Linked DNA regions of Schizosaccharomyces pombe. Each later gene encodes a partner of the first gene's protein in a complex. Each region holds a gene or a part of one and is shown in the gene's direction. Other genes may lie near its edges. The genes, in order: atg38 and atg14.

Region 1 (4,238 bases):
GCTTCGCGGCACATATCAATTGTCAAATTTACTTCAGGAATTGACCTTGGCAAAGGATTATGGACGTCGATATATTTTACTTGATGAGCGAAGACTTAATGAAAACCCTGTGAACCGACTTTCTAGACTCATCAAAGGTACCTTTTGGGATGCCCTTACTCGAAGAATCGATGCCAGTGTTTTGGATGTTATTTGCCGTGATACCAAAGACCGATCAGGATCACACGTGAATCGAATTTATGTTCCTAAAGCCGAACAAGAGATGTATGAATACTATGTTCGCGCTGCTAAGGAAAGGCCTTACTTGAATTTACAGGTCGAATATCTGCCGGAAGAGATTACTCCAGAATGGGTGAGAGATGTAAATGATAAGCCAGGGTTACTTGCACTTGCAATGGAAAAATACCAAGATGATGAAGGCAATACACATCTTCGAGGTGTGCCATTTGTCGTTCCTGGTGGCCGGTTTAATGAACTGTACGGCTGGGACTCTTACTTTGAATCACTGGGTTTGCTTGTTGACGATCGGGTTGACTTGGCGAAAGGTATGGTGGAGAATTTTATTTTTGAAATTACCTATTACGGTAAGATCTTGAATGCCAACCGCACTTATTATCTTCTTCGCTCCCAGCCTCCATTTTTGACCGATATGGCCCTTCGAGTTTATGAACGTATAAAAAACGAAGAAGGATCTTTAGACTTTTTGCATCGGGCCTTTTCTGCGACTATAAAAGAATATCACACTGTTTGGACTGCCACTCCACGACTGGATCCCAAAACTGGTCTTTCCCGCTATCGCCCTGGAGGACTCGGTATTCCTCCGGAAACTGAAGCTTCTCATTTTGAGCATTTGCTTCGTCCTTACATGGAGAAGTATCATATGACTCTTGAGGAGTTTACTCATGCATACAATTACCAACAAATTCATGAACCCGCGTTGGATGAGTATTTCGTGCACGACCGCGCAGTTCGCGAAAGCGGGCATGATACTACTTATCGGTTGGAAAAAGTTTGTGCTGACTTGGCCACCGTGGATCTGAACTCGTTGCTATACAAATATGAAACCGACATCTCACATGTGATTTTAGAATATTTCGATGACAAGTTTGTACTTCCAAACGGAACTATAGAAACTTCTGCCATTTGGGATCGTCGTGCTCGTGCTCGTCGTGCTGCAATGGAAAAGTATCTTTGGTCAGAAGCTGATTCGATGTGGTATGATTACAACACGAAGTTAGAAACGAAGAGTACTTATGAAAGTGCTACTGCTTTCTGGGCCTTGTGGGCCGGTGTGGCAACTCCCCGTCAAGCCGCAAAATTTGTTGATGTTAGTCTTCCCAAGTTTGAAGTTGCTGGAGGTATAGTTGCTGGTACAAAGAGAAGCTTGGGTAAAGTGGGTCTTGATAATCCCAGCCGTCAATGGGATTATCCTAATGGCTGGAGCCCTCAGCAGATTTTAGCTTGGTATGGATTGATTCGATACGGATATGAAGAGGAGACTCGTAGACTTGTATATCGTTGGCTATATACTATTACTAAATCGTTTGTTGATTTTAATGGTATTGTTGTTGAAAAATATGATTTGACCAGACCAGTTGATCCACATCGTGTTGAAGCTGAGTATGGTAATCAGGGTGTCAATATCAAAGGCGTTGCTCGCGAAGGTTTTGGATGGGTTAATGCCAGTTACGAAGTCGGCCTTACATTCTGTAATTCGCATATGCGTCGGGCTCTTGGTGCTTGTACGACTCCTGATGTTTTCTTTGCCGGCATCAAGGAAGAATCTCTTCCTGCTTTCGAAAACCTTTCCATTCATAAAAATTAAGTTATCGTTTGCTTGAAAAAAATAATCGACTTTGTCTACTTTTTTAGTTGCCTTTAGCTTTATTCTCTTATTATGTTATTTTGGTTATCGACCGGTTAAAACCCATTGTTATGTTACATGTTATACCTTCCATTAAATCCTTCTACTATGAAGGTTCTATTTGGCGAATATTCCCTTACGAAACAATAGTTAATTCTATTTAAATTTATGAGTAAAGCTTATCACCAGCGATATTATTACTTTTTTACTTAAAAGAAAGAAGTAGTAAATGAATTTTTTACCTTACGATTCAATTCTAATTTATAATTTCCATGATAGTACTGTTGTTGCAGTTTTAGTCCGAATATAACTCTAATGTTTAATTTGGTGTCTATCACTTTATTAGTTTTTTTTTTGAAGGAATTGTCTTCTAGAAACTTATTTTGAGTTAATGTACCGTATTATGTCGTTCACATTTGTAGACAACATAAGTTGGCCACTTCCTTACACAACAACAGTATATTATTAAAATGTGTTATGGTTCGATATTCATTAAGAAAGGTAAGAGATGCTTAAAGAGATAAGGATATGAGTAAATTTAGTGTTTGAAGTTCGTAATTATCGTTCGCTTTTGAATGTGAATGTTAACAAAATTAGGCGCATGAATACGCCCGAGATGGGGAAAATCAGGAAGTTTTGGGAGAAATTTCACAAGCAATTATGTATTATGGATTAGCAAAAAGTCAGTTTGAAAAGATATGTCAGAACACAGCTCAGCCTCTTATTAAAAGATGCGCAAATAACCAAATCGAAGAGTTGATGGTTCGTATACGCGAGTTACGAGAATCATTGCCAAACAAACAAACACCAATATCAATGTCAATGTCTACGAGATTATCACCTATGTATACTTCTTCATTAACTCCACGATTTACGTCCAATTCAATGGTTTTACCAGGTGATCATAATACTACTGTTCGACTAAAACCAAGCTTTCGTGAAGCTTTAATGGAAGATTCTGAGGACGATTTATATCAAATGTATTCTAAATTCGAAATGCAGGTTAAAAAGCTGTCAACCAACTATGGACTTGCAGTTGCTTTTTCCATCGTTCCCATGGATGATGATCAGCCATCACCAAGCATATTTAGCTCCGATGAGAGTTTTTTGATCGTAGAAGGTGATGATTTTTCTCTTGGTAACAGCGTTGAAGAAGATGCCAATGCAACAAGCAAAGAAGATCCTGCCTATCAGAATACGAACGAGCAGATTCAACCGCTATCGAATTTCGATATAAGTCAACAAGAATATTTAAATAATACAAGGATTCCATATGAAAACGAGGATTTACATTTACAACACATTACTCAAGGAACTACAGATGATAACAATGTATCCAAGTTTCTTATTCCTTCATACAATGATGCTAAGGAATTATCTGAAGAGGAGATGGGAAGAAGTCATAAAAGGGAAGAATCATTTAAAAGAGCATTTGGTCACGCATCAAGTAGCGAAAGTAGTATTGGAGAGATTACGGATTCTAGGGAGGATATTCAGTCAAACCGTCTTGTTAACGGCTCTTGGGAAAATAATGATTTTACTAAGGAAATAAACAATAACTTCCCTGATAGATCTGAAACGCCAACGCTCCAAACAATTGAAGCTCCGACCAAACTCATGAAATATACCAGACGCAAAAGTCTGTTTCGGTTTCCATTTTTTCGTTCAATATCTGGAAAGAAAAAAGAGGAGCCTATGGAGTCCGGAACTGATTCACTTGAATCATCTACGGCACAGATTACGGTCGATTCTCAATTGAAAATCAAACAGCTTGAAACACAAATCGCAACTTTACAAAAGCAACTGGAGCAATTTCAAACCAGTACTCTCGATCAAGATCTTCACTAAATGTCATTACTCGATTTACTTATTAATTCTTTAAAGAAACGGCAACTGATCGAAAATCAGTTTTCAAAGCAATACATTATGTTGTCTCTGCAAAATTCTGTATGTTTCGTTAAATTGTGCCTTAGTTTTCCTTTTGAAGAGAAATGCATGGGGAGGCAAAATTACGATGACATGGTCTGTGGCGAGCCATCCTTAATGGAATCAATACTTATTTTGGCTTAGATATGTTCTCTGCGCATACCATTATATTTGGGATTTTACTTTCTCTTTTTACCACCTGAAGTTCTGAAATAAATTTTTACGTGCTTCTATAACTGAATTCGACTACGAAAACTAGGATGAGGATGGATGGCTCTGATTTTGAAGATCGAAAAGTTAGTAAACCGAGCCCGGTATTACCTTTTGATGTTAGCAACATTGGTGATTTGAGTCAAGGGGTACACTCACCGTTGGGTATTTCGCATTTCGATTCCAAAAATCCAACGCCATTTGGCAGATCAACAAAAAATTCTGTTTATGAGTATGA
Region 2 (4,276 bases), on another chromosome or scaffold:
GATAAAGCATTGTAAACAGCGCCGTATGGATTTTGGGCATCCATAAATTGCGAAGGAGTGCCAGCAGAAGGTGTAGGAACAAGATTTTCTAACGAACCGGAATAATTATATGGTTGATTTATGGAGTTAGCAGAGGAAGTAAATGAGGGAGAAATATCACTCAACTGCTTGAAATGTTCTAAACTTGAAATGGGTGCAGTAGCCTGAACTCGTTTAGACATCTCTGAAAGAATCTGAAGTCGCGAATTCATACCACCCCCCATAACATTAGCTTTTTCGGTAGCTTCTGAAAGCGAATCAGCAATGAAAGGGGGGAAAATTGGCTTGCGCTTCACGTTGGAAGTCGCGTCGTAATGCGTGCCATCAGCGGTATGCTCTATTTTTCTTTTTCCATCCATAATTAAGTAACAATCAATGTATCCAAGCAAATGGCAAAAGAAAATTGAATCTAAAATATAGGATTTGGAGAAAAAATATGTAAGGTCACGTGTATATTATGAATAATTTTATCACACGAATTAAGAGCGCCGAGAATAGATGCAAAAAGATTGAAACTTTTTAAATTCTCCTAAGATTAATTAAAATGGAAGAAATAACGACAAAACAATACAGATTTCTTGTTTCACGCGTTTCTTGGTAACTCAAATAGTTGAAAACTTAATATGGGAACAGCAGATTACAAAAAATTTTGAGGGCCAAAACTTATTGCAATTTCTAAAACAAGAAACAATTCCTTTAGTTACGAGATGTGTATGAGTTAATTAGGATAGACCACCTTCTTCTAATACATAAGCGTTGTTTCGAGATGATATGCAGAATTTAATGAAGAAAAATAAAATGTAAATGAAAAGTAGACAAAAAAATTTTAAAATATAAATTTAAAATTTTCCTGATGTTTAAGATGAAGCAAACTTGGTAAGCTCTAGCAATAAACAAATACTCGCAATTAAAGATCACCAAAAACGACTTATACTTTGGCTATCCAAAAACAATCTTTGTTTAAAAAAAGAAAAAGAAAATTACCAAAATTAAAATAATAACACTCAATGAATCGGATTGTTAAAGAAAAAGACTCCAGTCACCCAATACCTTCTTTTGTATTATGGAATTATTCGGTATAATTCAAGAGCACACTATGCTGGTAGTTTGTTCTTGATGTGGCACGGGGGCGTGATATGGTGGTAGTGGTCCCAAATACTGATGCTAAATAATGCCTTAAACGTTGTAACGTAGTTTATGGTAAAGCTATATCATGATGGCAACTTGCTCTTTATATTACTAAACATTTAGCAAAAGATACCGTGGCGAAATTGTCTTTATTCTTTTATAGTTTTAATAAAATCATTAAACATAACTGCAGATACTAGAGATCTTTTGTCACTGAACCTTAAGAAATATGACAACAAATAGTGTTTCGTTATATTATGGCAGCGTACCACGTTATGTTTTCTAGGTGATACTGCAAAAGCTAATGTTAAAAGAGGATGGTTTGGGTTCTAGGATTATATTATTTAGTTAATATTTTATTAACCTATTTATTTAGATAAAATAGTTTTGTAAAACACCTTGCTCATCACTCAAAGTTATTTAGCAAAAATTTGAGTGTCGAGTAACAGGCTACTTTAAGGAAATATTTTTAAACGCTTTATAAAGTAACTATTTGCATACGATTGTAGTAATCAATACGAACATCAACTGCTAAGTAGCTACTTCGGGGATTTGAAGAAATAGAAGTCCATCTACTCATTGCATTGAATTCGTATAATATAATTTTTTCTTAATATTTGTCGTTTTTTCTGTCAAAAATATCGCATTGGTTGTTCAATTCTGCAAGAACAGCCAGGAATGCAGTTTCACTTTTAAATTAATATTTTTGAATTTGTCCGTTAGGAGGCCCTTCGTTTCTAAGAATAATTGTTTAAAAACCTGCGCTGTTTATTTTTTTTCCCTTTTTCTTCTTTGTTTTTGCTTCATTATTTTAACAACACCTATATTGTATACAAGTTGACAGTTAACGTAGTAGGAAATTAATATCCTGCTGGGTTTTTAAGTTTTCTTATTGCTGTGCTATAATTGAAATTTGCGTACCACTTGAAGGCATTGTTGGATCTAAACTGAAGGTGTGTTTGTATGCTGCATGTCAATAAATGCCAATTATGCGAAACAAGACGTCCTTCTATTTGCGAAAGCTGTTTAAAAAAGCAGCTTTATGATTTTTATCATAAACGTGATGAATTCTCTCGAGATATTGAGTCAGAGCTTGAAAAGGTTGCTAAATTGAAATCAGAAAGTTTCTCTCTAAAAGGAAAGATTACCCAAAAAGAGGAATTAACTTATCGACTACAGAACCTTGCTGCCTCTCTAAACGAAAAGAAATCGTTATCGTGTGACTTGCATTCCCGCAAACAGCTTATAGAAGATGACTTGTCTAATCGCAAAAAATCAATTAATATCGCGAGTCAAAAGTTAGCTGGCTTATCACATTCAACGAGTGACTATTTCTCTAAGGAATACCTTACAGCTTATCGCCGTTCTGAGCTACTTCAAAATAAATTGCATGAGTATCAAAAGAAGCTGATAACAAGGGTTTTGGATATGTATCAACTTCACTGGCAAAGGGATTTAGTGCTTAACACTCAGGGTTGCACTCAAAAATCTGCTCAAATGGGATCAGAGTTTAACCCTGACTCCATAGATTCATCTCTTGCGTATAGACTTTCAAAATTATCAATGGGCAATTCGAAATCCGACTTATCTCATAGTGACAATGAAACAGGACATTTTTATAGCAACTTTTTTTCTCAGGTGATGGAGTTAAATGCCTCTGTGACTATTTCTGGCATTCCTGTATGTATCAGAAGTAAAGAGAAAATGTTTTTAAATCCTGATTGTGCTTTAACTTTATCCTTTATTTGTATATTTTTAGCTCAGTATACCAGTATTCCCTTACCATGCCCGCTTCAACTCCCTTCGCCTGATCAAAAACCCATGACTTCATTTTCATCGGAACAAATGTTGTATATAATGTATAACATAGTTTGGATTTCATGGAACTGTGGCATTTTTTCGTTTCCCCGTGGAATTACCCAATCCCAGCTTTTTGAGTTAATGCAGTATACTGGTTTCTGGTTAGTTCAGCTACGTACCAAGCCGCTAACTTCTCAAAAGCCAGATTGGCATTACAAGATGGGTATGGATTTTGACCTTTTTCACCGATTATACCTGGCGCGTCTTCCAATTCCAATAAATTACTCCTCTCTTCGATCACGTTCCTCGTCTAAACCATATCAGCTTATTTCATGACCTTTTTTACATGATCTTCGATTAACAGCTTTCTTATAAAGTCTCTTAACGTATATTTTTTAATGCTATTTATATAAACTTTTTTACTGAACAATTAAATTCAATAATTTCTTTTAAAACTGTTGTAAAAAAATTAGATTATCGGTGTATTTATTTATATTAGTCAATCTTTCTATGACTATTTTCGTTGAAGATGGAACGAATACTATGAGAAGATCACGGAAAGAAAACAAAAAGCAATCCTAAATGGAAAGATCGTTTAAAACTGAACGCAAAGCCGAATCATTTGGTTGGGCATCGGAAACGGGTTGAATGGAACGAGTCTGGTTGATGATATCTTTAGTTTTTCCAAAGTAGACATCCTGGAGGAAGTTGCGCATCCGAGTTTCCATTTCCTCAACCAATTTGCCAACATTAGCGATCTCAGTGTCATCATCTGCCGCTGGTAATCGTTGAGAAGTTTGGCGAGTCAAATGACCTGAAAGGTTAAGAGCTTTGGAAGGCAAGGCAGACTGTTCCTCCGAGCCAGATGAAAGGAAAAGGATAATAGTACTTGTAAGTCGGTAATCATAAACGTTGGTTTCCGTGGTAGGCAGACATTCAAACACGTGAATAGAATCCCATCCGCTTGAGTTAGAAGTAGAAGCTAAATGAAGTTAGAATTATATAATGAAATTGACAGAAAATAAAAATACCCTTTTTTATGAGAACGGCGCCTGCGTAACTATCGTCTTGGTCCCAAAGATAAACGCTACTAACACCGCCCTCGTAATAAAGATCAAGATAGACACGGATTGCTTCATTCAAAGAAACTTCTAATTTACGAACTCGATCAGTAGAAACTAAACCATCCTCCAAAGGAGGATCATATTTATTGCTCCATGGTGAGCGGTACGAATCTCCATCCCTGTTAAAGTCACATAACAAATATTGATTACCTGACTCAGAACAAGTATTTACTTTTAGAGGCTGA

The links.
Region 2: atg38 (region 1) and atg14 share a complex: the UniProt entries of both Schizosaccharomyces pombe proteins name them as parts of the autophagy-specific vps34 PI3-kinase complex.

What each region holds. Positions count from the first base shown.
Region 1 is NC_003423.3:207,461-211,698, forward strand, and holds atg38 (protein Atg38), read left to right. Parts: upstream 1-2,298; 5' UTR 2,299-2,341; coding exon 2,342-2,365; exon of another isoform or gene 2,366-2,461; coding exon 2,462-3,712; downstream 3,713-4,238. Other genes in the region: alpha,alpha-trehalase Ntp1, read left to right, coding at 1-1,825; protein mug168, read left to right, coding at 4,051-4,238. UniProt on the Schizosaccharomyces pombe protein: Functions as a part of the autophagy-specific VPS34 PI3-kinase complex I that plays a role in autophagosome assembly. This complex is essential to recruit the atg8-phosphatidylinositol conjugate and the atg12-atg5 conjugate to the pre-autophagosomal structure.
Region 2 is NC_003424.3:2,100,652-2,104,927, forward strand, and holds atg14 (protein Atg14), read left to right. Parts: upstream 1-1,677; 5' UTR 1,678-2,130; coding exon 2,131-3,303; 3' UTR 3,304-3,452; downstream 3,453-4,276. Other genes in the region: protein Fft3, read right to left, coding at 1-398; F-actin-capping protein beta subunit acp2, read right to left, coding at 3,546-3,949, 3,999-4,276. UniProt on the Schizosaccharomyces pombe protein: Functions as a part of the autophagy-specific VPS34 PI3-kinase complex I that plays a role in autophagosome assembly. This complex is essential to recruit the atg8-phosphatidylinositol conjugate and the atg12-atg5 conjugate to the pre-autophagosomal structure.